Macaca mulatta: one gene and its partners. The protein of the gene in region 1 interacts with the protein of each later gene in a pairwise test. Links are inferred from orthologs where the notes say so. Each region holds a gene or a part of one and is shown in the gene's direction. Other genes may lie near its edges.

Region 1 (3,798 bases):
GTAACAAGCCAGGGACAATAGTGTGCACCTGTAGCTCCAACTACTCAGGAGGCTGAGGCAGGAGGGTCACTTGATCCCAGGAATTCGAGGCTATAGTGCATTATCATTGCACCTATGCATAGCACACCAGCCTGGGCAACATAACGAGACCTTGTCTCTAAAAAAAAAAAATAGTGGCTGGGCGCGGTGGCTCATGCCTGTAATCCCAGCACTTTAGGAGGCCAAGGCAGGTGAATCACCTGAGGTCAGGAGTTCGAGACCAGCCTGGCCAACAGAGCATTAGATAGGAGTTCTAAATTTCTCTTCAAAGAATCAATATATCAGTATGTTCAATTCTCTGCCTTCTACTTTTAAACTTAACTTCCTTGTAAAGCAACCTTTTTCGATCACCTGTTCCACCCTGACCCATTCTGATTGCCTGCTCCACCCTAACTCATTTCGATTACCTGCTCCACCCTGACTCATTCCGATTACCTGCTCCACCCTGACTCATTCCGATTACCTGCCCCATCCTGACTCATTCTGATTACCTGCTCCACCCTGCCTCATTCCGATTACCTGCTCCACCCTGACTCATTCTCCACCCTGACTCATTCTCCACCCTGACTCATTCCGATTTCCTGCTCTGCCATAACCAAACCACTCACCCGGTCACTCTCTTTAAATTAGCCAATCGGAATTAGTTTAGTCTGTGCGGTCTAACCCTAGCCAATAGGGGAATGACAGCAGCAGGGGCCACATGTGTCAGGGGTAAGAACCCCTTCTCCTCCCTTGTCCAGGTGTGTGCTCACCATTACTCCATCTGTGAGGGCGCACCCTTCTATAGAAGTAAATTGCCCTGCTGAGAAGAAAAAAAAAAAGAAAATTTTATATTCGATTGCTATTTCTTTTGTGGCACCGAAACCTTATTTATAACAATAGTGAAACCTCGTCTCTACTAAAAATACAAAAATTAGCTGGGCATCATGGTGCACGCTTGTAATTCCAGCTACTTGGGAGGCTGAGGCAGGAGAATTGCTTGAACTCAGGAGGTGGAGGTTGCAATGAGCCAAGATCGCGCCACTGCACACCAGCCTGGGTGACAAAAGACTCTGTCTCAAAAAAAAAAAAAAAAAAAAAAAGTTATTAACAGTTCTGGCCAGGGGCCGTGGCTCAGGCCTGTAATCCCAGCACTTTGGGAGGCTGAGGCCAGTGGATCACTTGAGGTCAGGAGTTCGAGACCATCCTGGTTAACATGGTGAAACCTCATCTCTACTAAAAATACAAAATGTAATAGGGCATGGTGGCGCACACCTGTAGTCCCAGCTACTCGGGAAGTTGAGGCACAAGAATCACTTGAACCCAGGAGGCAGAGGCTGCAGTGAGCTGAGATCATGTCACTGCACTCCAGTCTAGGCAACAGAGCGAGACCCTCCCTGCTCAAAAAAACAAAACAAAATAAAACAAAAAAAAAAACAGTTCTCAGGGCCAGGTGCAGTGGCTCACTCCAGTAATCTCAGCACTTTGGGAGGCTGAGGTGGGAGGATCACTTGAGGCTAGGAGTTTGAGACCAGCCTAGGCAACATAGTGAGACCCTGTCTACAAAAAATTTTAAGATTAGCCAGATATGGCTGCATATACCTGTAGTCCTAGCTACTTGGGAGGCTGAGGTGGGAGGATTGCTTGAGCCTAAGAGTTCAAAGCTGCAATGAGCCATGATCACGCCACCACACTCCAGCCTATGCAACAGAGTGAGACCCTGTCTCTTGAAAAAACAAAAACAAAAATGTACACACACACACAAACAAGTTGAAATTATTGCTCCTCTTGTTTTTGTGGTTGAGTCTTCACTGTGTGATTCTTGTTCCATGAATTTAGAAGGTGAGAGTTGGTGGATAGCTTCTAGAAGTGGGTTTGAATAGGAAAGATGAAGGCTGTATCAGAGCTATGATGGTGCCACTGCACTCCAGCCTGGGTGGCCTGGGTGACAGAGCAATATTATCTCTTAAAAAAAAAACAAAACCCCACCAGCTGGCTGTGGTGACTCATACCTGTAATCCTAGCACTTTGGGAGGCCAGAGGCAGGTGGATCACGAGGTCAGGAGTTCAAGACCAGCCTGGCCAAGATGGTGAAACCCCATCTCTACTAAAAATACAAAAAGTAGCCAGGCGTGGTGGTGGGCACCTGTAATCCCAGCTACTCGGAAGGCTGAGGCAGAGAATTGCTTGAACCCGGGAGTGGAGGTTGCAGTGAGCCAAGATCGTGCCACTGCACTCCAGCCTGGCAACAGAGCGAGACTCAGTCTCAAACACACACACACACACACACACACACAAACACACACACACACACACACTAAAAAAAACTGTATCAGGATCAGTTTTCCTTCTTAACCTCTAAAGACAGATTTTTTTTTTTTTTTTTTTTTTTTTGAGACGGAGTCTTACCCTGTGACCCAGGCTGGAGTGCAATGGCACTGATCTCGGCTTACTGCAACCTCCGCCTCCTGGATTCAGATGATTCTCCTGCCTCAGCCTCCTGAGTAGCTGGGATTACAGGCACTCACCGCCATGCCCAGCTAATTTTTGTATTTTTAGTAGAGACGGGGTTTCACCATGTTGGGCAGGATGGTCTCGATCTCCTGACCTTGTGATCCTCCCGCCTTGGCCTCCCAAAGTGCTGGGATTACAGGCATAAGCCACCGTACCCGGCCTTTTTTTGTTTGTTTTAGATAGGGTCTCACTCTATCACCCAGGCTGGAGTGCAGTGGTGCAAGCATAGCTCACTGCAGCCTCGACCTCCCAGGCTCAAGCAGTCCTCCTGCCTCAGCCTCCCAAGTTGTTGGGACTACAGGCACGAACCACCATGCCCAGCTGATTTTTAAATTTTTTGTAGTCTCACCATGTTGCCCAAGCTGGTATCAAACCCCTGGGCTCAAGCAATCCCTCTCACCTAGGCCTCCTGAAGTGCTGGGATTACAGGTATGAGCCACCATGACTGGCTTTAAAGACAGATTTTTTTCTTGGAACAACACTCACCAGTCATGTGACTTGGGGTAATTTAACATCTATGGACTTTAGTCCACAGAAAATCAGAATTAAAGCAGGGTCTGATGACTTGTTTATGAAAATTAAATAAGAAACTGTTGAAGCACTTAAAAAGCAATACAACATGATGCAAATAGAAACTTAATTGTTTTGGTGTCCAGCAGTTAGTTTGGTAGAAATTGAGCAATGTGTCAGAAGAGGAGACCCAGTGATTGAGCTGTTTCTTTTCTTATTACAGCTATCTCTGAAGGGCACAAATCAGAAAGCACCATGCCTCCTAATAAAGAGGCCAGCGGTCTCAGTAGTTCACCAGCGGGGCTCATCTGCCTCCCTCCAATCTCTGAGGAGCTACAGCTTGTGTGGACCCAAGCAGCCCAGACCAGTGAGCTAGACAGCAATGAACACCTGCTAAAAACCTTCAGCTACTTTCCCTATCCCAGCCTAGCAGACATTGCCCTTCTCTGCCTACGTTATGGGTTGCAGATGGAGAAAGTCAAGACTTGGTTTATGGCCCAGCGCCTCCGCTGTGGTATTAGCTGGTCATCTGAAGAAATAGAAGAAACTCGAGCCCGAGTAGTCTACCGTCGGGACCAACTCCATTTCAAATCCCTTCTCTCTTTTACTCATCATGCAGGACGGCCCCCAGAGGAGGTGCCTCCTCCTCCAATGCCAGCTCCAGAACAAGTTGGTATTGGAATAGGTCCTCCGTCTCTTAGCAAGCCCACCCAGACGAAAGGATTGAAGGTAGAGCCTGAGGAGTCCTCTCAGATG
Region 2 (4,336 bases), on another chromosome or scaffold:
TGTCCTTTATACATATTACCTAACTCTCACAATCCAGTGAGGTAGAAATTTTCACCCTTGTTTCACAGGTTCCGTCTCAAGTGGTAGTAGCAGGCTCAGAATTCAAACCCAGATTCATCTGACTCCGAAACCATACACTCAGAAAGATCCAGGAAATGCCCCCGCCCACTGCCCCCCCCGGGAAGTAGATGCATCCGAGGAACTAAAAATCTTACATGGAAGTCAAGCCAGAGCTCCAGATCTGCAAGTGTCTTTCTTTTAAACCTCAGTGAGAGCTGCCTGATAGCCAAGAACAGTGGCATTTAGTTCAATGGGGATTTTAGATTCGTCTTTCCAGTGTCCTCACTCCTGAGTAAGAAGAAGGACAGAGCACGTTGGTATTTTCCTGGCAGCAGACACATGTTAAAGGAAATTTGATAGAAAGATAGAGATGGGGGTTGCTATTTTTAAAGCCTGCCTTCTCTGTATCCAGCCTGCCTCCAGCATACCAGCATCACCAGCAGTGCTAAGAACAGCTGTGGAGTAGGGGTGCTGTGGGAGACCTAGGTGACACTGAAGAGGAAAAATGCCCCCTTGGAGCCTAAATAGTACTGTTACGTATATGCCAAGGGCTCAGTTTAGCTTCTTCTTCTTTTTTTTTTTGAGATGGAGTCTCACTCTGTCGCCCAGGCTAGGGTGCAATGCCGCAATCTCGGCTCACTGCAACCTCTGCCTCCTGGGTTCCAGCAATTCTCCTGCCTCAGCCTCCCAAGTAGCTGGGATTACAGGCACCTGCTACCACGCCCAGCTAATTTTTGTATATTTAGTAGAGACGGGGTTTCACCATGTTGGTCAGGCTGGTCTTGAACTCCTGACCTCAGGTGATCCACCTGCCTCAGGCTCCCAAGGTGGGGATTACAGGCATGAGCAACCGTGCCCAGCCCTCAGTTTAGCTTCTGCTGCTTCCTGAAAACAGTCCACCCTTGGGAGAGAGACTGAAAAGGGTGGGGCGAGGGGCCCACCTCACTTGAGAAAGTGCAAGCCTGACAGCTGAAGGGTCCCAGAGCAGCAAATATCACCTTGTTTCTCTTGGACTACTCCAGTTGTCTGCTTTTGATTGACAGAGGCATCTGGCTGCTAAAAATACACTCCTGACCAAATGCTCCCTACTCCAACTAAAGCCGAACAGGATTGTTGCAGTTCAGAACTTAGCATATACAGAGCTTCTGCTTGCAATGGAACCTCTCAAAACTTTTCAGGTCCTATCCCAGAACCATATTAAGCCATGGTCATTTTCTCTTCTGTTAGCTTTGCTGGGTGATGAATGAAACCCTTCCCAGTTCACTTGTTCTCGTGCCTGTCCCATTCCCACCTCCAGAAAAAGTAGCAGAGGGGGAGGTGAGGGCCCAGTGGCTGAGAGCGGGCAGGGAAGGGGAGGTGGCTTGTCCATTTATAGTCTTGCTCTTTGGGATGCTGAAGGTGCTGAAATAGCAATGACAAGAGACTTGGCTCAGTGTTAAATATCTGCTGCGCTGGCCTGACAGACTCTGAGATGACAATAGGGAGAATGGAGAATGTGGAGGTCTTCACTGCTGAGGGCAAAGGCAGGGGTCTGAAGGCCACCAAGGAGTTCTGGGCTGCAGATGTCATCTTTGCTGAGCGGGCTTATTCCGCAGTGGTTTTTGACAGGTATGAAATGTGGGGAGTTGCCTTCTCTCCTGTTGGTTTGGCTGGTGCCAAACTCTAAAATACTTTGCTCTCAAAAATCATCAGGGGAAGGGATAAAATTCATGTGCTCTTTTTTGAACAAAATGACACTTCTGAGAGCTAACTTTTCTGGCATAAATTTTTCTGCAAGGGGTCGTTGCCAGTGTGATTTGCTGTGGCTCCTAGAAGGATGGTGAAGGTGAGCAAAGGCTTCAGGGGCACTTTCTCCCAACATTGGGCAACTTGGCTGAGAGGGTGTGCTGGGAGTGGAAAGGTGGGTGTGGTGCTGTGGGAAACAATTTCCGACAGAAAGCTCTATATTTTTAGCTTTTTTTTTATTATAAATATATTACCAGATAAAGTAATTGCTGAGACTTAAAAAAATAATAAACTGTTTGTATATTAATAATTATGAATAACACAGGAATCCACTTATCCTTGAAAAATCAAAGTATCATCCAATCCCAGTCCCCTCTGTCTTTCCTCAGATATTACCTTTGCTATTATTTCATTGTATTTCCTTCTAGAATGTTCCTGTGCTATTACATGTATATATCAGCATTTATCAAAATGGATGGCTGTAGTTTGCTTTTCTTTCTTTCTTTTTTTTTACATAAATGGTGTCATACTTCAGATGTCGTTTTAGAACTTGCTCTTTTCCCTAAACAACATGTTTTTGATGTCTATCCTTGCAGGAACTATAAATCTATAGATACTTCTTTTAAATTCCAAAGATCTCTTTCCTTTATAGAGCTATACATATAGATTCATATGCTATATGAATCACCAATCTTAATTTTAAATATTTCATCCTATAAATATATGACATTTTATTTATCCATGTCTCTCACCTATTGAGAGACAATTGGTGGTTTTTAATTTTTCATAAAAAAATGAAAATCCTCGATCGTGTCTACCTGTACATATGTGCGATTGTTCTCTAGGCCATAGGACTAGAAGAGGAATTGCTGGGCCATAGGATGTGATGTTTTCAGTTTTATAGGCTCTTCAAACAGGCTCTGTTAAATGTACATTCCCTCTTCTTCACTACCTTGGCCACCCTAGACTACCAAGCTTTTAAATTAGTAATAAATCTTAATTTTAAACAAATTTACATGGTGATGACATTAAAGTGCCAATATTTTCTGAGATCAAGGTTGGGGTGACCTGCTTGACATCTATGTGGTTTGAGTCTGATAACCCAGGCTTTGTGGTTGGCTGGCTGCACTGACCACCCTGGGAAAGGGCACTGCTTCTCAGAGATAACTTTATTAGTATTCACATTCTCTTGTCTTCCTGCCCACTAAGACCTTCAGGGAAAAGGGTGTGAACTGGGGCATATGGCTTACCACCACCTGAGGAATATATGGGGCTGAGGTGACTTTTTCAGGGGGAGCTTGTCTTATTTCATTAATTGTGTGTGTGTGTGTATGTGTGTGTGTCAGGGGAGGGGTGAGTACAGTTAGGGAGTCAGCTGAATTCAGAGTGAAAACACAACCCAGAAACACAGGGACTGTCAACACTAATCCTGGTGCTGCCAGTGAGTTACTGCCTGGCCTTGTGAAGAACATCTCCATTTGCTGCCTCCAATTCCCCAAAGTCAATCTAGCCAATCAGTTCCATTTCAAGAAGGTTAAAGTTGAATGGGCTTTCATTCCATTATAAAAGCAAGGCATTGTCATTTCAGAAAATTTAGAAAGGTAAGATATCACACAACGATAACCACTCTTAACATGTTGGGTATCTATTTTTGGTTTGTTTTAAAACATAGGTTTCATTTGGCTGTAATATACTCATTATAGAAGCTATTATGCTTTTTCATTTAATAATTTTGACGTCTTCTGTGCTATTATACACTCTTCAGAGACAGTACTTGAGAGCTACATGTTCTATTACCTGCTGATGACTGACCATTTGGATTGTTTCCATGTTTTTGTTATTATAAATAATTTGTCATTGATTTGAAGTAACAACTATAAAAACACTTCATGTACATTGAGGATAAATACTACATAAAATCATATATTTTTTTACAGTAGTAATACAAGTGGGATAAATGGTATAAATGACCTTTAAAATGATTGAAAAAAAAATCTAAAAGAGATAGTTTTTTTCAAAAAATGCTTTACCCAAACTTGTCACTGCACAGATGAGGGAGCTATGCTTTCTTTGGTTATACCAGAGACAGTCCAAAGAGGCATTAAAGGAAAGTTTTATGCACTTTAGGCTCCTGGTGAGGCTCAGCCACCGTAGATGAGAAACTTCATTGCAGAGGTGGAACTCATCACCCACAAAAGTCACTGTATAAAACTGGCTTATTCTAATCCATGTTATGGCAAGACAGGCTTTCCTAGTCTTCCACAGAAATGTGGAGAAAGATTATATTTTTAATTGAGCACTGCATTAAATGAAAATTAATTCTTTCAAACTGTGTATTATATATTCTAACATATATATTATCTATTATATTGTATATATTCTAACATATATTATACAAAGCATAGCAATAGATCAACACCAAACCAACTTAACTAGAATATTCCAATATGTTACATCTTCTCTATCCTGTCCCATGCCTGCTCCAAAGGTAATTATCCTAGGTTTTGTGTTGTATATTCTACTGCCTTTTAAATAATAGTTTTGGCCGGGT
Region 3 (4,457 bases), on another chromosome or scaffold:
GTCTGTATTCCATTACACTAGTGGTACATTTTCAAAATGGAAGGAATATAAAATGTAAAAGTATTTGCTGTGCAGAGGAGGGAGACACTACTGCTGGGACTAGAATCAAAGTTTTCTCACACTCAGTTCAATGCCTTTTCCACTACATCCCTCAGTTGAGCCTTAAGGCACCAAGTGGATGGTCATTAGTCTTGTATGGACTTTATATCCAATGCTGATTATAAGGTCTAGATGATGCTAGGTGGCAGAGATTCAAAGTTGGACAGGTCGGTTACTGTACTTGATAAATAAACAGCCCAGTGACAAGACAGATAAATAAACTGACCATTTACACCTTAAAAAGGTGGTCAGTTGCTTAGGGAACTGGGGGAGGGGCACCAAATGGAGGAGTGGGGACATGGTAGGGAGGGCTTTTCAGCATAGTGAGTGAATGGATGCTCATTTGAAGAAACAACTTGTGTTTAAGGTGTTTTTGTTTCTTCCAGAGCTGGAATCTGGAAGAATTTCTGGGCTTTCCTGCTTTGAGGGAGAGATCAGGCTAGGTGCACTGCCAGTTTGCTGCTGAAGATCTGATTAGGTTCTACTTTGATCTGATCAAATGAGATTTAATCAATGCTGGTACTTTGATTAAGTCAGTTTGCAACTATTTAGTTGCTCTTTTTAGTGGTAATATTAGTAATGGTAAAACTTAGTGCTTTTAGGATGAGAGTAGGCGGCCTGAAGAATGGTATCTTGGGCTCTTCTGATTCAAGCCCTACGGCTCATTGGCAGGTCATCAGAGGAAACATCTATCTATCTGTCCATTCAAGAAGTATTTATTCGGTGCCTATGTGCCAGACACTGTGGGGAAAACAAGACACATGGGCTATTATTGCCTCATGGAAGGAACTAAGCTGTTTGGATCTTGACGAATCCCTTTCTCTGGGCCTCAATTCCTGGACCTGTTCAGAAATGTGCGCTCACAGTGGTCCTAGATATCTTAGATTCAGGTTCCATTTTCAGTTCTTTCCTGTTCTGCGGCCATCTGCAAGTTAATTTGATCTCCTTGAACCTCAGTTTCCTCATCTGCAAAATGAAGATGATACAACTCGTTTCATCAGGTTGTACTGAGGCTGGAAAATATAGTCTAACTACTGACGCATCGTATGCTCAGCCTAGGGTGGCTGCTACCGCGAGTACCTTAGGACTCCTAGGGCGGGCACCAGCCCGGGACCCCTGACAGGGTGTTCATTAGGGCGTGGCTAGGCCCCGGGAGGGGGAAAGCGTTAGGATTTATAAAGCCAGAGTCTGGCACGCTGGCCTCATTCCGTCTTGAACTAGACCCTGGAGAGGTCTTCCAGGCTTGGGCTCAGCACGCGAGCACCGGGAGCTGGGGTGCCTGCGGCGGAGGCGCACACGGTCCGAGCAGCCCCCAGCGCTCAGCGCGCACACCTGGGCCCGGGGCGCGAGGCGTGCGCGGCCGCTGGGTGGGCGCTGGGGACCTGGCCCTGGGGGCGGAGCCTGCGGCCCGCCGCCCCCCGCACACCCCAGCCGAGGCCCGGAAGGGGCCAGGCGCGCTTCCGTCTCCGCCGGGGATGCACGGAGGGCGGAGCTGCGGCCCGAGGACGCGACGCGAGCCCAGTTCCGGCGAGGAGGCCGCGCCAGTGACAGCGATGGCGGCGGAGTCGGCGCTCCAAGTTGTGGAGAAGCTGCAGGCGCGCCTGGTCGCGAACCCGGACCCTAAGAAGGTGAGCGAGGGGGCGGCGCGTAGCGGGGTGGGCGTTGGGTCGGTGCGGGCCCCGTAACGGTCGCGGCCCGGGCGCGGCGGGGTTCGGGGACTGGGACCCTGAGCCAGGCCCCGCGGGGCTGGGGTCGTGAAGTTCGCGGCCATTGGCCGCTGCTCGCGCGCTGGGACCCCGTGCGTCGGGCGTCGGGACGCCGGGCCCCGGCCGCTCCCCCTCCTTCACGGGCCCGGGACGGGGGCGCGCCCGGTGTGGACACCGCGTGCCCAGCGCTTCCTCCCGGAGGCGCTCCCGTGGCGTCCCGAGCCAGCTGTTTCCTGCGGGAGAGCGCGCCCGGGGCGGGAGGGCGCTGGCCACCGCCTCGCTGGCCGCCCGGTGCCTGCGCTGGTGTCCGGCTCCCCGCGGAGCGGCGCGGACTCACCAGCGGGTGCGTGTTCGCCGGGAGGAGGAGACCGGGCGCCCGAACGCTGCGGAGCCTGGGCTCGTGGTGTCGTCCGCGCCTCTCGGAGACGCGGTTACTACTCTCCGGCTGGATATCAGAACGTGGACCTTTCGCTTTCTCAGTGAATCTCTTTCAAAACAGAATAAAGCCTCACGTCACCTAGGCGTACTCCTGAAAACTTAGGTTTGAATTGAAAAAGAGGCGTGGGCCCGGGGTTGGAAGTCGCAGCTAGGTTTCCTTTTGGCGATTAATAGGAAGGTAAAAGCTACCGTTTCTCGTTGTTCGAATGATGGGCAACTGTTTTTAATTGTAGTTAACTAGTTTTTGTTGTTTATTGTACAAACTGAACATTAAGTTAAAAGCGTTCTTGTCACTCACTTCTCCATGGTCTCCAGGAGACAGTCTGGTGGTTGTATTTTTTTTTTCTTTGAGACCAGTCTTGCTCTGGTCGCCCAGGCTGGTGTGCAGTGACGCGATCTCGGCTCCCTGCAACCTCCGCCTCCTGGGTTCAAGCAGTTCTCTGCCTTAGCCTCCCCAGTAGGTGGGATTACAGGCGCCTGCCACCACGCCTGGCTAATTTTTGTATTTTTAGTAGAGACGGATTTCACTGGGTTGGCCAGGCTGGTGTTGAACTCGGCTGTCAGGATTTTTTAAGTGGAAATACAACGATGAAAGCACTACGTGTTTGGCATTCTCCGTCATCATTCTGGCCCGGGCGGGCAGTTCTTGGAGTTGGAGCTCAGTCCTGGTGGAAGAGGAAGTCGTGGAGGGAGCGCTAGGGCCGTGGGGGAACTGCTTTGCGGAGCCTCTTCCTCACCTGCTGCTTCCTAGGACTAACCTGAAAGGCTAAGGTACCAGGCTGAAAGTCAGTGCTCAGAAGATACCAATCGTCGTTCTTCGGGGTTTTTTTTTTGTTTTTTTTTTTTTTTTTTCTTGAAGAGCCACTTTCTCTTTACCTTGTTCTAGCCTATTGGAGGTAAGGTTTCTCCAATTCCAAAGGCCGTACACAGCCTCTCACCATCAGACCACTTTTTAAGGGTTCTCGTTCATACCTAGCTCGAAGATTCACTTCTTCAGGAAGCCATTTTAGTTACAAATCTGGGAAAATTTAAAATGCTTTCATTGTGCCATGTTTTCTGTTGCAGCTTCAGTACCGTACCTAGTGGTCAGGCATGCTTACAAGTTTCTTTTTACAGTAACGCCTTGTGGACGTCTAATAAATGGTCATTATTTTAGTACTAGTTTGTTTTCCTAAACACTGTAAGATCTGTGACTGACGTTTGATACCTTAAAGCAATGCCCCATTTGTTCTTTATTTCTGTCAGATAAAAATATTCTATGAGTGTCTACAGTCTTTTTTTTTTTTTTTTTAACTAGAATTTAGATTTGGAAGTAGTTTTTCTATTGGTTGATTTGCATGAAATATAAAATTAGGAAAAGGCTTATTCCACCTTAACCTAGTTGAATTATTAATGATTTTGTTTGTTTGAGGATTTGGGCTTTTTCTAGATAAAAAATCACCCTGAATTTCTAGCTTTGCATTGTGAAGTGAGCATTATGAAGATGAGAAAATGTTGGGAGATCATTTTTGCAAAGGGCATAATAGTCGACATTGAGAAATGAGTTAACTGCAGAGGGAAAACTGCAAGCTGGCATGTTGGCCTTGTTCCTTTCAACCTTCTGGTAACCTAACAAGCTCCTACAGGTTGTATGTGAAATTGCAAGATGATTATATAGCACTGTTGAATTTGCAACCAGATCTTGCTTTCAAACCATTATTAGCCAAGGGTTTGATTCCACACGTATGTTCATGGATTTTCTAGTATTAGACATTGCTGTAACTCTGTTTTCACTTTTTCATCTATCATCTTGGCTCACTTGAGGGAGAAGGTATCAGCAGGCTAGGGCCACTTGGTTTCTGTTTTTATGTTTCATAGTTCATGGCTAAGAAAAGTTACCTGTCCTTAGGCCGAGTGCAGTGGCTCACCTGTAGTCCCAGCACTTTGGGAGGCCAAGGTGGGTGGATCACCTGAGATCAGGAGTGTGAGACCAGCCTGGCCAACATGGTGAAATCCTGTCTCTACTAAAAGTACGAAAATTAGCCGGGTGTGGCGGCAGGCGCCTGTAATCCCAGCTACTTGGGAGACTGAGGCAGGAGAATCGCTCAAACCCGGGAGGCAGAGGTTGCAGCGAGCTGAGATTGCGCCATTGCACTCCAGCATGGGCAAAAAGAGCAAAACTGTCTCAAAAAAAAAAAAAGAAAAGAAAAAAAACTGCACACACAGAGTTGGCCG
Region 4 (3,798 bases), on another chromosome or scaffold:
GTCATAGATAGCTTTTATTATTTTAAGGTATGTTCCTTCTATACCCAAATTTTTTAGGGCTTTTATCATAACACAATATTGAATTTTTTTAGAAAGCTTTTTCAGGGTCTATTGAAATGATCATATGGTTTTTGCTCTCAGTTCTGTTACTATGATGTGTCATGCATATTGATTTGTGCATGTTGAACCATCCTTGCATTCCTGGGATGAATCCCATCTGATCATGGGGAATGATCTACACTCACAATATTGTACAACCATCACCACTATCTATTTCCAAAACTTTTTCATCACCCCAAACAGAAACTCTGTACCCACCAAGCAGTAACTCCTCATACTCCCTGACCCCAGCTCCTAGTAACCTCTATTCTGCTGTCTCCATGAATTTGCCTTTTCTAGGTATCTTACATAAATAGAATCATACCATATTTGTCCCTTTGTATCTGGTTTCTTTCACTTAGAAATGTTTTCAGGCTTCATCTATGTTGTCAAATATATCAGAATTTCATTCCTTTTTAAGGCTGGATGATATCCCTAATGGTGTGTGAGGATCCCAATTTCTCCATTTCCTTACCAACAGTTGTTTTTCATTTAAAAAAATTATCATAGCCATCCTAGGATCCGTCTAATTTTGTCACATAAGGTGTTACTGTGTAAAGGAATGCAGATCTACGCAGAAGTCCCAGCCTCATCACTAACAGACTAACAGTGTGAGGTGGACAATCCTGGAGCTCTTAGTGCCTCAGTTTCTTCCTCTGTAAAGTGGAGCTAATAATGCCTGCCTGGCTAGGCTGTATAGGTGGAGTGAAGATAATGATGCATATAAAATGTTAGTACAGACTCTAGAATGTGGTAGCTATTATTTTCCACAGAATGTAAGCTTAGTGGAGGCAGAGATTTGGTCTGTTAGGCACACCTTAGTATCCCAACCCCTGGAGCAGTGAGTGGCACTCAGTAGGCACTCCAAAAATATCTGCAGAATGAATGAATTAACTCTTAACAAGCAGGGCTATGTCAAAGTGCGTTGTCATGGATAGTGAGGACCCTGTTACTGGCAGTGTTCAAGCGTGATCTGCATGAACACTGAGTGGCGACTATGTACTGGGCCCCGTGAAATAATAACAAGATGAAAACGCACCCACCTAGCCTTCAAAGAGCAAAGGCTACAGAGTTGTGGGGACATAAGTCCCCCATAACTTACGATGCAAGCCATGCAGGCTCCTGGCAGATGGGGTCCCCAGGGAAGATAGCCAGGAGGGCTAGGGGCTTGAGCTGGAGCATCCTTGGGGCAGGTGTGGCCCTGACCCAGTGAGGCTAGCCTGGCTGCCACCTACCCTGTCCCAGGTGCTGCCAGACCGCGACGGAAAGCGCTGCATGTTCTGTGTGAAGACAGCCACCCGCACGTATGAGATGAGCGCCTCAGACACGCGCCAGCGCCAGGAGTGGACAGCTGGTGAGTGCTCGCTAGGTGGCTTGGGTCTGGCTGGTCCTTAGGCGCCTCATCTGGGAAAAGGGGGTGATAATACTTTGTCCAGCGGGAGGTTGGAGAGTGGACTCGGGCCGTGTGCGAGGATCCGACTGACCCGCTCCCGCTCCTCGGCAGCCATCCAGATGGCGATCCGGCTGCAGGCCGAGGGGAAGAAGTCCCTACATAAGGACCTGAAGCAGAAACGGCGCGAGCAGCGGGAGCAGCGGGAGCGGCGCCGGGCGGCCAAGGAGGAGGAGCTGCTGCGGCTGCAGCAACTGCAGGAGGAGAAGGAGCGGAAGCTGCAGGAGCTGGAGCTGCTGCAGGAGGCGCAGCGGCAGGCGGAGCGGCTGCTGCAGGAGGAGGAGGAGCGGCGCCGCAGCCAGCACCGCGAGCTGCAGCAGGCGCTCGAGGGCCAACTGCGCGAGGCGGAGCAGGTGGGGTTCGCTCCTGGCGCGGGGGACTGGACCGGCGGGCTGGGAGGCTGCGGGGCGGGCCAGCGGGGGAGCGCCAGGGGCGGGGCCTGGGCAGAGGGCGGAGCTCCTGGGTTGAGGGGCGCGCACTGGGGTGGGACTTGGAAAGAGGGATTGTTGGGACAGAGTCCGCGGGTTTGAAAGAGATTTGGGATGGAGCTTCCGCCGGGGGCAGGGCCTGAGGCTAAGGAAGGGGTGTGGGGCGAGGTCCAAGCCGGTGGATGGATGGGCCTGGTTTGGAGACCTTGGCTGTGGGTTGGGGCTTGGGCAGAAGGAGCCGTTGAAGACCGTGTGATTGGGGATTAGATTGGACCAAGTTTGGACTAGACTTGAACTGAGTTTACAGTGAAACCAGTTTGAGAGGCAAGCGGGACGTGTATGGAGGCGGACTAAGCGTGCAGAGGCAATTAGATTTAGGATTTAAGAAACCTGGATCTGGAGTCAGAAACATGTAGATTCAATCTTAGCTCTGCTTCTTACGAGCCCCGTGATGCCAGGCAGGCTCATTTTACTGAGCCTTATCTGTAAAATGCTAATGCTAATAGAACTTTGCTCACAGAGGTACGGTGAGGGTTAAATGAGGAAACACTTGTAGTAGTGTCCAGTAACTTTTCGTTGTTATAATTGGGTTATAGTCACCTCCTTCCTAGCAGCAGCCATGATTATAACATATTGTTATATATTATAATAATTATTAAGCTAGTGCTAGGAAGGAGATGACTATATTTTTGTATCTTATTTAATTATATAATGTTGTTTAATTACATATTATATAATTATGATTAAGGTTGGTACTAGAAAGGGAATACCTTTAGCCCGTTTCCCCCAAGTGGCATCTGTTCACTGACCATTATCTGTTCCAGTCAGGCTCTCAGAAAGGGGTCAGATCAGGAAACCCCAACATGAAGGCGTTCCCCAGACTGTTACCCCTAGGCAGCTTAGCAGAGTCCTGGGGAAAGAAGGGCAACATGCCCACCCCCTCCTCCCCTGCCCCCACGTGCCCCTTTTGACCTGGCTCTGGGTCCACCACCTCCCCACTCCACAGGCCCGGGCCTCCATGCAGGCTGAGATGGAGCTGAAGGAGGAGGAGGCTGCCCGGCAGCGGCAGCGCATCAAGGAGCTGGAGGAGATGCAGCAGCGGTTGCAGGAGGCCCTGCAACTAGAGGTGAAAGCTCGGCGAGATGAGGAATCTGTGCGACTCGCTCAGACCAGGTAGGCCTGAGGAACTTCTTCAGGTTCTCCCACCACCCCTCGTGGAACCCACCCCAATTTTCCTGCTTGCCGCGCACCTGCAAGGTGCCTTGGCACTAGAGACCACACAGTACACACTCGCCCGGCAGACTGCTGGAAGAGGAGGAAGAGAAGCTGAAGCAGCTGATGCAGCTGAAGGAGGAGCAGGAGCGCTACATCGAACGGGCGCAGCAGGAGAAGGAAGAGCTGCAGCAGGAGATGGCACAGCAGAGCCGCTCCCTGCAGCAGGCCCAGCAGCAGCTGGAGGAGGTGCGGCAGAACCGGCAGAGGGCCGACGAGGATGTAGAGGTGAGGCCTGGAGTGGGATGGGGTGAGGCTGGCAGGGTAAGCTCATTAGGGCACAGACTGTGGAGCCAGGCTGCCTTCCCTGAAACCCTGGCCCTAGCAGCCGCTAGCTGTGCGACTTTGGACAAATTCCCAAACTTCTTGGAGTTAGTCTCTCGCCTGGGAAAGGAAACTGGTAATAGCGTTGTTATGAAGATTAAATGAGATGATACACGATATTTAGTATGTAGTAAGTGCTGAAGAAACATTTGCTGCTATCTTTGTTCACATTATTATTAATCTGGGCAAAAATTTTTCCTTCTACCCTTCCAAGCCCCTGTCTTG
Region 5 (4,380 bases), on another chromosome or scaffold:
TCAGCCTTCCAAAGTGCTGGGATTACAGGCGTGAGTCACCGCACCTGGCCTCAAACACCTAGTTTCTAGTCCCAATTCTGCCCCTAACTCACTGGACAACTTCAAAGAATCTCTTGATCTTTCTGGGCACAGCTGCCTCATCTGTAAGAAAAAATGAGAAGCCAGTATTGGCCATTATCTTTTGACCTCTTGCCCTCTTAGAGGAGGCTTAGCTCCCTTGAACCACCTCTTCACCTCTTTTTGTTGTTGTTGTTGTTGTTGTTGCCCTGGCTGGAGTGCAGTGGCATGATCTCGGCTCACTGCAGCCTCCGCCTCCCAGGTTCAAGTGATTCTCCTGCCTCAGCCTCCTGAGTAGCTGGGACTACAGGCGCGTGCCACCACGCCCAGCTAATTTTTGTATTTTTAGTAGAAACGGGGTTTCACCATGTTGGCCAGGATGGTCTCGATCTCCTGACCTCGTGATCTGCCCACGTCCGGCCTCCCAAAGTGTTGGGATCACAGGAGTGAGCCACCGCACCCGGCCAGCCTCTTAAAGTTATATCACTCCATGACATTGTTAAGAGCACAGATCACTTGCCTTCTGTGGTGGAGCTGTGACTCCCGGGATGAGTTATTTACCCTCTCTGTGTCTCAAGTTCCCTCATCCGCAAAATGAAAGTAAAGAATAATTTAGTGTATCCTTGGGTTGTTAAAGGGTTAAAAGGCTAATATAGGTAAGGTATTTAGAACAGTGGTTGACACAGATAAGGACTACCCTGGCATTAAGATCGTTATTATTCACTTAAATGGATACCTTTGTAGTTTTACATGAAATGTATTATTGATAAATCAAAAAATAGAAATATAGGCATAATCTGAGGATATGAAAAGACTACAGTGGATAACAGGCAGGAAGAGAGCTTGGAGGCCACTGTTTTTCCTTTTTTGAAAAAGCTTCTCTGTGCTTTGATTTTTCACGTATGTGTATATATGTGACACTAGTTTCTTAATGGAAACAGATTGAGCAAAAAGATCACTAAAGTCCCTCTTATCTCTAAATGTAGAGATTGACTATGATTTTCAAAGAGCAACATTTTCTAGGTGTCTGGCTTATCCTTATTTTCATAGCTTGACCATTTTTACTTTTGACCTTCCCAGGAAATCCTTATGAAGGTTTAAAATAAACACAATCACTTTGGTATGTTTATAATGGAGCAGGTTCCGACTCCTTGGATACTAGAGAAACCGGGAAAGGTGAAAATAGGAACTTTGTAAATACTTGGCCTTAGGGACTGGCTGATATTTTACCTCTTACCATCTTTTCCCAGAAACAATTCAGTTAACTAAAGGAAAGATCATAAAGTTAACAACCGCAACAACAAAAGCGTGGTTGGTAGGCAGCAGCCTGGCGGTGAAAGCGTTAACAGGGCTGGGTAAGGCGATCCCTTGAAATGAGTAAGACTGAGTGGTTAAAGTTTTCAAAGCGGTGGCAGCAGCGGCGCTTGGGGGAATGGAAGCCGGTTGGAGGGAGCCGCGCACCCCTGCTGCGCGGAGGAGGGGGCTGAGCTGAACTCAGCAGAGGTTACACGCACAAGGTTAGTGGCCCCCACACGCCTCCCCAGCCCGCCGCCGCGCTGACATCTTTGGAGAGGAGTCTTAGAAAGGCGAGGCGCCATCGCTCATTCTCGCGTCGTATCTGTCCTGCTGACTAGTCGCTAGTGGAGCCACTGGCCTTCTTGCCAAACCTCTGGGCTCAGTACTCACTGAAGCCCTGGCACTTGTGAGGGACAGCTGACTTCTTCCCACACTTTTCTAAACTGGAGGCTTCTTTTCATACATCCAAAAGGAAACTTGTTTCTGGAATACGTACTGTTTTCAGACCACACACACACACACATGCATACACACATACACACACACACACGACCCCTACCTGTATATGCTGCCCCAGTACGGTTTTTACAGGTTGTGACCACAATCCGGAATTCCTATCTGCTTCGTTTGAAACTGAGAACAATGTCAAAGTAACTAAACAGGCTGCACTACTTTACCTCGTGGGAGGAATATTGTCTCTGAGCCTAAGGTAATCAGAATGAGGAGAAAAAAAAAAAAAAGAACCAAAGATGAAAAAAGAAAAGAAACAGAGCTTCCAAGCACCCTGACTTGTAGTTAAGGCAAAACAATTTTTGGAAATGGGTTTCTAATGGAAATTTTTCATTGCTAGCATCATGTGGGAAGGTATATTGTAAAGGAAATAATTCTACATCTGCATGAGATTCAGATAAACGTACCGACCTAAACTAATCTGCATGTCATGCAGATAACAGATACACTTAGATTTAGGGGAAGGAGGAGGAGGAGGTAACTTCACAGAACTTGCGTTCGGAGGGGGCTTTGTTGTAAGAATTGAGACTGTCAGGAGCTTTCCCCAGGCAGGGGTGAAGGAACTCTTCCCGGCCCTGGCTGGTAGAGAGGGCTTGGGGAGCCACTTCAGCAGGCCAGTTTATTTCTCTGCTCTCCTGGCCACATAGGCAATGAACAGTCAGTCTTGTGCTCAGTGCTCCTCTGATCCTCACAGCAAGCACGAGTTGAGTCTTATACCTGCTAGCATTGAATCAGAATGAGTCACTTGAAACTTGGGTGCCGGAACAAAGTACTTGCAAACTGCCTTATGAGACACTGCCTCGATGTAGGTGGGATATACCTCTCGGAGCAGTCACATTTTTTTTCTCTCCTCTCCCTCCTTCAAGCAGGCAAGAATTCTGACGTTCTCAAGAGGCCAGCTCTGCCCCCGTTGCTCAACTGACCTTATCATGTGGACTCTGCTCCTCCAGGTGGGAACTGGAGTTTTGAAATAAAATGGATGATTTGACATTACTTGATCTTCTGGAGTGCCCTGTGTGCTTTGAGAAGCTCGATGTCACAGCCAAAGTCCTCCCTTGCCAGCACACCTTCTGCAAACCATGTCTACAGAGGGTTTTCAAGGCCCACAAAGAGCTGCGGTGCCCCGAATGCAGGACGCCTGTGTTTTGCAGCATCGAGGCGCTGCCGGCCAACCTGCTGCTCGTGCGCCTTCTCGATGGAGTGCGCTCAGGGCAGAGCTCCGGGAGAGGAGGCTCCTTCCGCAGGCCCGGCATGATGACCTTGCAGGATGGCAGGAAAAACAGGACCAACCCCAGACGTCTGCAGGCCAGTCCTTTCCGGCTAGTGCCTAATATCAGAATCCACATGGATGGGGTAAGAGAGATCTTATTTGTTAATATCATGCCCACATGGAGGTTGGATTTGTGTATACAAGGAGCTAGAGATTATCTTCTTTTAACTACAAGTTTAACATTCCAGAGTGCTGCTGGTGATTCCCCAGTGATACGTTTCTGTGGGCAGTGATCATTTTACTCAAATACGATGGAAGCCTGAGCCTACCTAATCTATCTAAGAATTCTCTTTAGAACTACTAAAGCTTCCTAGGTTCTCCTTTCCTCTTGTCCAGAAAGTAGTAGAACAAGGAAAGCCTTTTAGATTATATTTTTGGTGTTTGATTTCTGCTCTTCTGAGGCCAAACCAGTGCCTGGGAAATGCACGGAGGGTGGGGAAAAAAAAGAGAAAACAAATCCAACTGCTTGTTGCTTTTGAGATCTCTTGGAAATTTCCAAATGTCAAGTTTTTTTTGAATTTTACCCAAATCCATCTTCCCACCCCTAGTCATAAAGTGCTATTATGGCAATACTCATTCATAATCTGTTCGAAGCTATCAAGATACTTGACGAGGGAGATAGTGCGGGAGGGAAGCGTCTATGTGGGTGGACTGATTGATAGCGAAGGCTGGGCTGTGAAGTACATCAGCTGTGTATAGAAGCTCTGCAGATGTGTCTCATTTTGCAAAATGAATGAAATACACAGAAGATACACAGCAGGCGCTGCAATTAAAAAACCAAACAGACCCAGTTAAGCCTCGCAGGAGATTAATGCTTTTCATGTTTGGATAATGGGAATCGCTCTGTCCAGCACTGAAAGCACACCCCGAGGACTTCATCTGACCTGGCTATGAGTCTTGTTGTGGGATAATGTGTAAGGGCACATCTGGAAAGAAGGACATGGTCCTTGTGAGTCCAGCAGAATTATTTGCACTGTCACCCCTGGAGTCAGTGTAACAAAGTGGACACGGAAAGCTGTGGCTTGGGCCATTGGCATACTTAGAAAATCAAAGCTGCATTCCTTGAAGTCTTACCTAGAGCAAGCGTTAGAGTCTAAATGCTGGCAGCAGGGTCCTACATCTCCCTGCTCAGAAGACAAACAGTGTGTGGGAGGGTCTTGCAGGACTGCTTCCTTACTCAGGAGTGAGGAGTGGCTTGTGATATGCATTTGGAACAACTTTCCAAAATTTTCCTTCTAAGGGCTACC
Region 6 (3,798 bases), on another chromosome or scaffold:
GTTATAGTCGTGTATCGATATTGCTCGTTACACTCAAAGAAGGGGTATAGAATGAAGATTTAGCACGCTAGATTAGGTGTGAGAAAACCAGGAACCTTTGGAAGAAGACATGATAGAACTTGAGAAATTGAGGAGATGATCACTTGGGATACAGTAGAAAGTGAGGAGGAAAGTGGTGGGAAGAGCAGGATTTATAGGACCCGACAGTGAATTAATGTGGCTAGGGATGCACACACACACAAAATCTTAATTAGTCAGTGACATACTTTCCTCTTAAAACTCTTAAGAGAGTTCACCACTTAGAACAATTACATGCATATATGTCATATTTGTGTGAATCATACTGCTCATTAATGGCTTATCATAATTCAGTCTGGTGTTCTAATGACTTATATCTCATCTCTCCAACTAGATTATAAACTCCCAGAGGGTACCAGCGACATTTTGTCTTTCTTTGGAACCTCCACAGTTCATTGCACAGTGCCAGGCATATAAACAACATGCAAAAAAAAAAGGATGAATAAATGGACTCACTTACGTTAGAAAAAAAATTTTTAATGCTTAACTCAGAGATACATATGGTTTATTTCTCCCAGTGCCCCACAGTGAACTGAATTCTAGAGTCACATTTTTGAATCTGAGCCAAATAAACATACTGCCACTTCGGTTAACCATTGTTTAAATGTTTACTTTCCTTGTCCTGTATTATTATATCTCTCAGGATTCTTTTGTTCATCCAGCTAATGAAATGAGGATTGGGGAACTTCACCCTTCATTAGCTGAGACCCCTCTGTACCCACCCAAACTTGTTCTGCTAGGGAAGGACAAAAAAGGTAACATTGTGAACCCAATGTGGAAAATATGCTACAAATGCATGTGCATGATGAATCGCCAGTTGTAAATTATGATACACCATAGTCTATACAAATGTTTTACAAATATGCATTTCTAACCTTAATCGGTATGGTTTCCATTTTTCATACTTGCTTTTCCGTGTAATTGTCAGTGTCATAGCATTATAACATTTTCCCCTTTAAATTTCAGAATCAACTGATGAGTCTGAAGTTGACAAAACTCACTGTCTGAATAACAGTGTTTCCTCAGGCACTTACTCAGACTACTCGCCTTCCCAGGCTTCCTCAGGATCCTCTAATACCCGGGTTAAAGTGGGGTCCTTGCAGACAACAGCTAAAGATGCAGTACATAATTCTTTGTGGGGTAACAGGTGTGTTTAGAATTCCCTCCTTTTGTTCCCAAACGTTTATTTTCAGCAACTTTTTAAAAAATGGAATCTTCTTAATTTTGGAATTGTATTCAGCACACAAGTGGCACAGAAGACAGAAGGGGCAGGTAAGCAAATGTTGTTCGCCTGGGACTGCCAAGAACAGATGAATCCATCTTACAGGGAGAGGCCATTGTTTAAGGAAGACATGGTAGGAGTTAACAGGATGAGATGGTAGAACAAAAAATTTTAAAAATAAAAAAAAATGTTAGCCCACTGATACTTATTGATGAGACATGGATGTTTTACCATACAAAATGGCATAATGAATTAAAATAAAATGCCAGTAAAACACTTATGTGTTTGGTCCAGAGTAAGTGTTCAATAAATTTTCATTGCTATCATCATCATAATAATTTTATCACCACCTGGAAAAGTTAGGATGTATTTTAAAGTACTTAATCTTTCCAAAATGCCTCCTCTTCTATATTACTCTAACTTTACAGATGAAAAAACAAAAACCACACACAGAGCACAATAAAGTGACTCAATAAGGCAGTGTTTTCCAGTTCTAATTCCATTTTGTAACTTGTTGCTATGTTTTATACTACAAATAGCAAATTAAAATTGTTATATGATATAGGTAGTCAATAACTTTTACTCATATTTTACTGAAAATATTGCCACTATTGGCAACGTCTTCTTTAGTAATTCATGAGTAACTTTTCCTATTCATTGATGCTCATAATAAAAATCTTAACGCTTTCAGTCTGTAAATTCATTATCTGCATTATTTCAGTATCTGCTAGAAATAACATGGTCAATGATATAAACATGTCAGGGATCTAAAGTCATAATATAATTTACATTCTACAAAAACATACCTGAATATGCTCTCTATATAGTAACATTTAGTGTCTTCAAAACCTGACCTTCAAGTAAAAGTTATCCGAAGACAATTTAGATTCATTACATACACCAAGCATTTGTAAGAAAGGTACTCTCAGCCAATAGTTCGAAATGTACCAAATCAGAATCTCCAGGAATGGATATCAGGAATCATGATTCTAATTAGACCCAACTCTTCGTCCTTTTCAATTTCTTCTTCCCATTGTGTTCACAGGATTGCACCATCTTTCCCACAGCCTCTTGATTCAAAGCCATTACTCAGCCAGCGGGAGGCTGTTCCCCCAGGCAGTATACCACAGCGTCCTGACCGGCTGCCCATGAGTGATACTTTCACTGACAACTGGACTGATGGCTCACATTATGACAACACAGGGTTTGTTGCTGAGGAAACCGCAGCTGAGAATGCCAACAGTAATCCTCTCTTAAGTTCGAAATCTAGAAGCACATCTTCGCATGGACGCAGGCCTTTGATCAGGCAAGACAGGATTGTTGGTGTTCCCCTGGAACTTGAGCAGTCTACACACAGACACACACCAGAAACAGAAGTGCCTCCTTCCAATCCTTGGCAGAATTGGACCAGAACCCCTAGTCCATTTGAAGACAGGACCGCTTTTCCTTCCAAATTAGAGACAACCCCTACTACCAGCCCATTGCCTGAAAGGAAAGAACATATAAAGGAATCTACTGAAATACCTAGTCCTTTTTCTCCAGGCGTACCATGGGAGTATCATGATTCCAATCCCAACAGGAGTCTTAGTAATGTCTTTTCTCAAATCCACTGCCGCCCAGACTCTTCTAAAGGTGTTATTTCAATTAGCAAAAGCACAGAGAGGCTTTCCCCTCTAATGAAAGATATCAAGTCTAATAAATTCAAAAAGTCACAGAGTATCGATGAGATTGACATTGGTACATATAAGGTGTATAACATACCATTAGAAAACTATGCTTCTGGGAGTGATCACTTAGGAAGCCACGAACGACCAGATAAGATGCTGGGACCAGAGCATGGTATGTCCAGTATGTCTCGAAGCCAGTCAGTCCCGATGCTGGATGACGAGATGCTCACCTACGGAAGTAGTAAAGGGCCACAACAACAAAAAGCTTCTATGACAAAAAAAGTCTATCAGTTTGACCAAAGCTTCAATCCTCAAGGATCAGTGGAAGTGAAAGCCGAAAAGAGGATACCACCCCCTTTTCAACACAATCCCGAGTACATGCAACAGGCCAGCAAAAACATCACCAAGGATTTGATTAGTCCTAGAGCTTACAGAGGATACCCACCAATGGAGCAAATGTTTTCATTTTCTCAGCCATCTGTGAATGAGGATGCTGTGGTGAATGCCCAGTTCGCAAGTCAAGGGGCCAGGGCAGGCTTCCTGAGAAGGGCCGACTCCCTGGTGAGCGCCACAGAAATGGCCATGTTTAGAAGGGTCAATGAGCCTCACGAGCTGCCCGCAACTGATAGGTATGGCAGACCTCCATATAGGGGAGGGCTGGATCGCCAAAGCAGCGTTACAGTGACTGAGTCCCAGTTCCTGAAAAGGAATGGCAGGTATGAAGATGAACACCCTTCATATCAAGAAGTGAAAGCTCAGGCGGGAAGTTTTCCGGTTAAAAACCTTACCCAAAGGAGGCCATTGTCTGCGAGAAGCTACAGTACAGAGAGT
Region 7 (3,798 bases), on another chromosome or scaffold:
GCCTCCCAAAGTGCTGGGATTACAGGTATTATGAGCCACCATGCCCGGCCGTATTTTCCCATTTTATAGATGAGAAGGTTAAAATGCACATCTCGAATTAGTGAGTCAAGTTGAAGACCCAGGCCTTCTGATATAACTGCTTTTTTTTTTTTGTCATGAGATCACACATTTTAAAATTTGGTTCTTGAATAATATCTTTTCAAAAATACTTACCTTTACTCCAGCTTCTTTTTTAAAAGAATTTGAGGTGAGATTCTAAAGTATAAGCTATACTTAAGCATGGGAGTGCTCATAAATTATGTTTCATGTATGTGGAACCTCTTGACATTCAGCATAGGCATTTAGCCACAGTGAATGAGCTGTTAGTTCCTGGGTGTGCCTTCTTCCAGAAGACACTGGCAGGGTTCAGGCAGCATTATCTTATGAGCATGTAGTGTGTGATTTGTAGAATAAATAGGTTAAAGATCTTTTTTATTTCAATAAAAATGACTATTTAATTCCGCTGATTCCCATTTCCTCCTGATTATTTCATAAAAGCAGCTTCCAGTTCTGAATAGCTTGTAATTACTTACTAGTTCTTAAATACTGTTCCCAGAATCACTTGGGTGGCTTAAAAAAAAAAAAAAAAGCACATTTCTGGGCTCCAAGCCAAACCTATAGAAGCAGACTCTGGGACGCATGAAAGTTCTTCAGTTGACATGGATGTCCACCAATGATGGGTTAGTTTTAGAGGCCCCAGTACATTTGGTGGCCTCCTTCCCTAACTGCCCTCTCCTCTGAAAAAAGCAGCAGGTGGGTAACATAGCCCAATGGAATAAAGGTATTATTTTGAAATTGCCATTTTATCGATCCCTGAACCAAAGTCACTAACTAGAGGAAGAGAACAGGCATGTTTGTGGCTAAAAGGAAGGATGCATTGTAGTTCATCCTGAGTATGTATCTGCTATGTTTTTGCAGCATTGGGCTCTAATGGAAGAGCTAAATCGCAGCAAGAAGGACTTTGAAGCAATCATTCAAGCCAAGAACAAAGAATTAGAGCAGACCAAGGTACTGGAAAGAAGATGGAAGTTTAGAATTTGGTTAGTGCATGCAACTCAGCATTTTCAACAGTGTAAGGGTTGCTATGGAGAATGAAGAGAGAAATCATGGCTGCTCCTTGCCTCTGGGGAAATAATCTATAAGATTATAGAGGTCTATAGAAGATTCTGCCTGTCAGACAACATCTATTTCCTTCCCTTGTTCAGAAGCAAAATGCTAGGAATAAGGCACTTGCATCCTGCATTCTAGTCCTTTGTCTATGGTGGGTACTCCTTCAGGGTGTGTCACTGATACAGACTGAGGAATATTGTAGTCAAGAAATAGTTCCTCCTGAACTATGTAATTTGAATTACATAAAGTAAAGTGAATTACTTAATGCAATTCCTTCCTGTGTCAAATCAGGAGAACTCTTGAATTAGGGGTTATAAACTTAAATGCCCACCAGGGCCAGACTGGTAATCTAAGTGAGTGAAGTGGCCTGAATGTGAGAACACAGTAGGGAGCTGTGTGGGCTATGGTTCATTGGATGGGGTATTTGCCCACACCCCCATCCCAGGAGGCAACTCTTCTCTGCTCAGCCAATTGTTGCCGTCCAGAAGTGCAGGCCCAGTGTTGTCAGATCTTCTGATTTTTCCACAGCAGATGAAAGTCCAAATGTTTAAGTGAAATATCCCAAAGTTTAAATATTGGCAACAACTTCAGCTTTTTGTGTGTGTTTTCTTTAATGTGAAGGCCAAATTAAACAAGTCTGCAGGGTGGATCCAGTCCACAGGCCACCAATTTGCAACCTCTGACCTGACATTAATACCTGAGTCTGACTGCATCTCTCATCCCACCCCCTCCATGTACAGACCTAGAGCTGAAGGAGGGACTTTAGTTGGTTTGATTTCCTGTTTAAATCACATAATACCTTCCTCTTCAACCTCCAAGAAACTACCACATCTTTTTAAACCCAGTGATTCCTAAGTTCTCAGGGAATTTGACTATAGTTAAGGGGGTCCAGACTTTCTTCACTGCCCTGAGCAGTCTGCCAGTCTGCTTTGAGTGGAAAAGAAAACAAAAAGATGAAAAATGAGCCGGCCACTCAAATATACCTCAAATGGCCTATCCTGTCCCCCTCAGGGGCTCTTAATGCTTTCTGTTTTGGGGGTGAAGTGCTAAAATAAATGTCTGCTTCAAGAGAGCATACCTAGGATCCTCCTTAAAAAGCGTGTTCACCCGCAGTCTGACCTCTTGGGGAAAGCCGAGGAGATGGTACTGCAGGCCTCTGCAGGCGTGGGAAGTGGCAGGTATCATAGAGCATGGAGCCTGAAGGTAATTCAAGAGGCCTTTCTCCAGCCTTCTGCCTCCAGAGGTGTGCCTTACTTTATAGAAAAGGCAGCTGCAAAGAACACTTTAACTTTATAACTAATTCAAGTTTCCTGCCTCTCTGGACTATTCATGCGTCTTTTCTTGTCCAGTGAGTTTTTCATTATTTGGGATGATCTTATGTAACGTCCGAACTACGGCTTGCTATAAACTACTTAATGTCCCATCTGGTCTTGGGTGGTTGGTGTGGTTAGTATACCACCTGCATTTTTCTCATTTGACTAATTTTGGGGAAGGAGACAGAAACTGCAATGCAAATACTGAAAAAGTGGTGTTTTAGTCCATTCAGGCTACTACAAAAAAGACCCATAAACTGCATAGCTTACAAACAACAGAAATTTATTTCTCACAGTACTGGAGGTTGGGAAATCCAAGATCAAGATACTGGCATATTTGGTGTCTGGTGAGGGCTATCTTCTGTTTCATAGATAGAGTCTTGCTGTGTCCCTACATGGTAGAAGGGGCACATGAGCTCTCCTTGGGCCCCTTTTATAAAGGCCACTAACCCGATTTATGAGCATGGAGCCCTCATGACCTAGTCACCTCCCAAAGGCCCCACCTCTTAATACCATCACATTTGAAAATAAGTGTCAACATGGGAATTTGGGAGGAAGCACAAACATTCACACCATAGCAAGTAGGGAGAGGAAAGAAAGAAGGTTAGTGCTCTGCATTAGAAAACAATTATTAACAATAACCCTTAGGGAAAGTGTTCTTAATGTTGCTATACCAGAATGAATCATTCATTAAGACTGAATCCTCTTCTAAATAATTAACCCTGCTCCCTGTCCCCTTTTGCATTTTTGTTGGTTATCTGAATGACAGGTAGGATTGTGTGTCTTGCAGGAAGAGAAGGAGAAGGTGCAAGCACAGAAGGAAGAAGTTCTCAGCCACATGAATGATGTGCTAGAGAATGAGCTCCAATGTATTATTTGTTCAGAATACTTCATTGAGGTAATGAAGTTGCTCACCCCTTCTTTTTTTTTTTTTTTTTTTTTTTTTTTTTGAGAGAGTCTTACTCTGTCACCCAGGCTGGAGTGCAGTGCTGCGATCTTGGCTCACTGCAACCCCCACTTCCCGGGCTCAAGCAGTTCTTGTGCCTCAGCCTCCTGAGTAGCTGGGATTACAGGCACATGCCACCACGCCTGGCTAAATTTTAGTATTTTTAGTAGACATGGGGTTTTGCCATGTTGGCCAGGCTGGTCTCGAATTCCTGACCTCAGGTGATCTGCCCACCTCGGCCTCCCAAAGTGCTGGGATTACAGGTGTGAGTCACCACACCTGGCTGACCCCTTCTTATTCTCCCAACCCTGAATGGAGCCTGGGCTGTACAGGCTGCTTCTACTATAGGGGAACATTCTGAAGAGATTTTCTTCCAGGAACTTATAACTA

What was found.
Region 2: the proteins of HOMEZ (region 1) and SMYD1 interact in binary tests that used the Homo sapiens proteins (3 or more experiments, as listed by UniProt). The link is inferred for Macaca mulatta from reciprocal best matches to the Homo sapiens genes HOMEZ and SMYD1.
Region 3: the proteins of HOMEZ (region 1) and ELOA interact in binary tests that used the Homo sapiens proteins (3 or more experiments, as listed by UniProt). The two-hybrid records come from large-scale screens. The link is inferred for Macaca mulatta from reciprocal best matches to the Homo sapiens genes HOMEZ and ELOA.
Region 4: the proteins of HOMEZ (region 1) and DEF6 interact in binary tests that used the Homo sapiens proteins (3 or more experiments, as listed by UniProt). The two-hybrid records come from large-scale screens. The link is inferred for Macaca mulatta from reciprocal best matches to the Homo sapiens genes HOMEZ and DEF6.
Region 5: the proteins of HOMEZ (region 1) and SH3RF2 interact in a two-hybrid assay, tested with the Homo sapiens proteins (2 studies listed by BioGRID). The two-hybrid records come from large-scale screens. The link is inferred for Macaca mulatta from reciprocal best matches to the Homo sapiens genes HOMEZ and SH3RF2.
Region 6: the proteins of HOMEZ (region 1) and LRRC7 interact in a two-hybrid assay, tested with the Homo sapiens proteins (2 studies listed by BioGRID). The two-hybrid records come from large-scale screens. The link is inferred for Macaca mulatta from reciprocal best matches to the Homo sapiens genes HOMEZ and LRRC7.
Region 7: the proteins of HOMEZ (region 1) and RNF8 interact in binary tests that used the Homo sapiens proteins (3 or more experiments, as listed by UniProt). The two-hybrid records come from large-scale screens. The link is inferred for Macaca mulatta from reciprocal best matches to the Homo sapiens genes HOMEZ and RNF8.

The regions. Positions count from the first base shown.
Region 1 is NC_133412.1:96,375,806-96,379,603, reverse strand, and holds part of HOMEZ (homeobox and leucine zipper protein Homez), read left to right. Parts: exon of another isoform or gene 1-865; intron 866-3,265; coding exon 3,266-3,798. UniProt on the Homo sapiens protein: May function as a transcriptional regulator.
Region 2 is NC_133418.1:26,091,548-26,095,883, reverse strand, and holds the start of SMYD1 (histone-lysine N-methyltransferase SMYD1), read left to right. Parts: upstream 1-1,421; 5' UTR 1,422-1,531; coding exon 1,532-1,668; intron 1,669-4,336. UniProt on the Homo sapiens protein: Methylates histone H3 at 'Lys-4' (H3K4me), seems able to perform both mono-, di-, and trimethylation. Acts as a transcriptional repressor. Essential for cardiomyocyte differentiation and cardiac morphogenesis.
Region 3 is NC_133406.1:217,253,061-217,257,517, reverse strand, and holds the start of ELOA (elongin-A), read left to right. Parts: upstream 1-1,619; 5' UTR 1,620-1,652; coding exon 1,653-1,727; intron 1,728-4,457. UniProt on the Homo sapiens protein: SIII, also known as elongin, is a general transcription elongation factor that increases the RNA polymerase II transcription elongation past template-encoded arresting sites.
Region 4 is NC_133409.1:146,958,928-146,962,725, reverse strand, and holds part of DEF6 (differentially expressed in FDCP 6 homolog), read left to right. Parts: intron 1-1,344; coding exon 1,345-1,453; intron 1,454-1,603; coding exon 1,604-1,902; intron 1,903-2,983; coding exon 2,984-3,150; intron 3,151-3,278; coding exon 3,279-3,477; intron 3,478-3,798.
Region 5 is NC_133411.1:154,819,132-154,823,511, forward strand, and holds the start of SH3RF2 (E3 ubiquitin-protein ligase SH3RF2), read left to right. Parts: upstream 1-1,419; 5' UTR 1,420-1,574; intron 1,575-2,665; exon of another isoform or gene 2,666-2,732; 5' UTR 2,733-2,838; coding exon 2,839-3,216; intron 3,217-4,380. UniProt on the Homo sapiens protein: Has E3 ubiquitin-protein ligase activity. Acts as an anti-apoptotic regulator of the JNK pathway by ubiquitinating and promoting the degradation of SH3RF1, a scaffold protein that is required for pro-apoptotic JNK activation.
Region 6 is NC_133406.1:170,595,779-170,599,576, reverse strand, and holds part of LRRC7 (leucine-rich repeat-containing protein 7), read left to right. Parts: intron 1-721; coding exon 722-833; intron 834-1,044; coding exon 1,045-1,225; intron 1,226-2,345; coding exon 2,346-3,798.
Region 7 is NC_133409.1:144,861,120-144,864,917, reverse strand, and holds part of RNF8 (E3 ubiquitin-protein ligase RNF8), read left to right. Parts: intron 1-957; coding exon 958-1,047; exon of another isoform or gene 1,048-1,079; intron 1,080-3,252; coding exon 3,253-3,360; intron 3,361-3,798. UniProt on the Homo sapiens protein: E3 ubiquitin-protein ligase that plays a key role in DNA damage signaling via 2 distinct roles: by mediating the 'Lys-63'-linked ubiquitination of histones H2A and H2AX and promoting the recruitment of DNA repair proteins at double-strand breaks (DSBs) sites, and by catalyzing 'Lys-48'-linked ubiquitination to remove target proteins from DNA damage sites.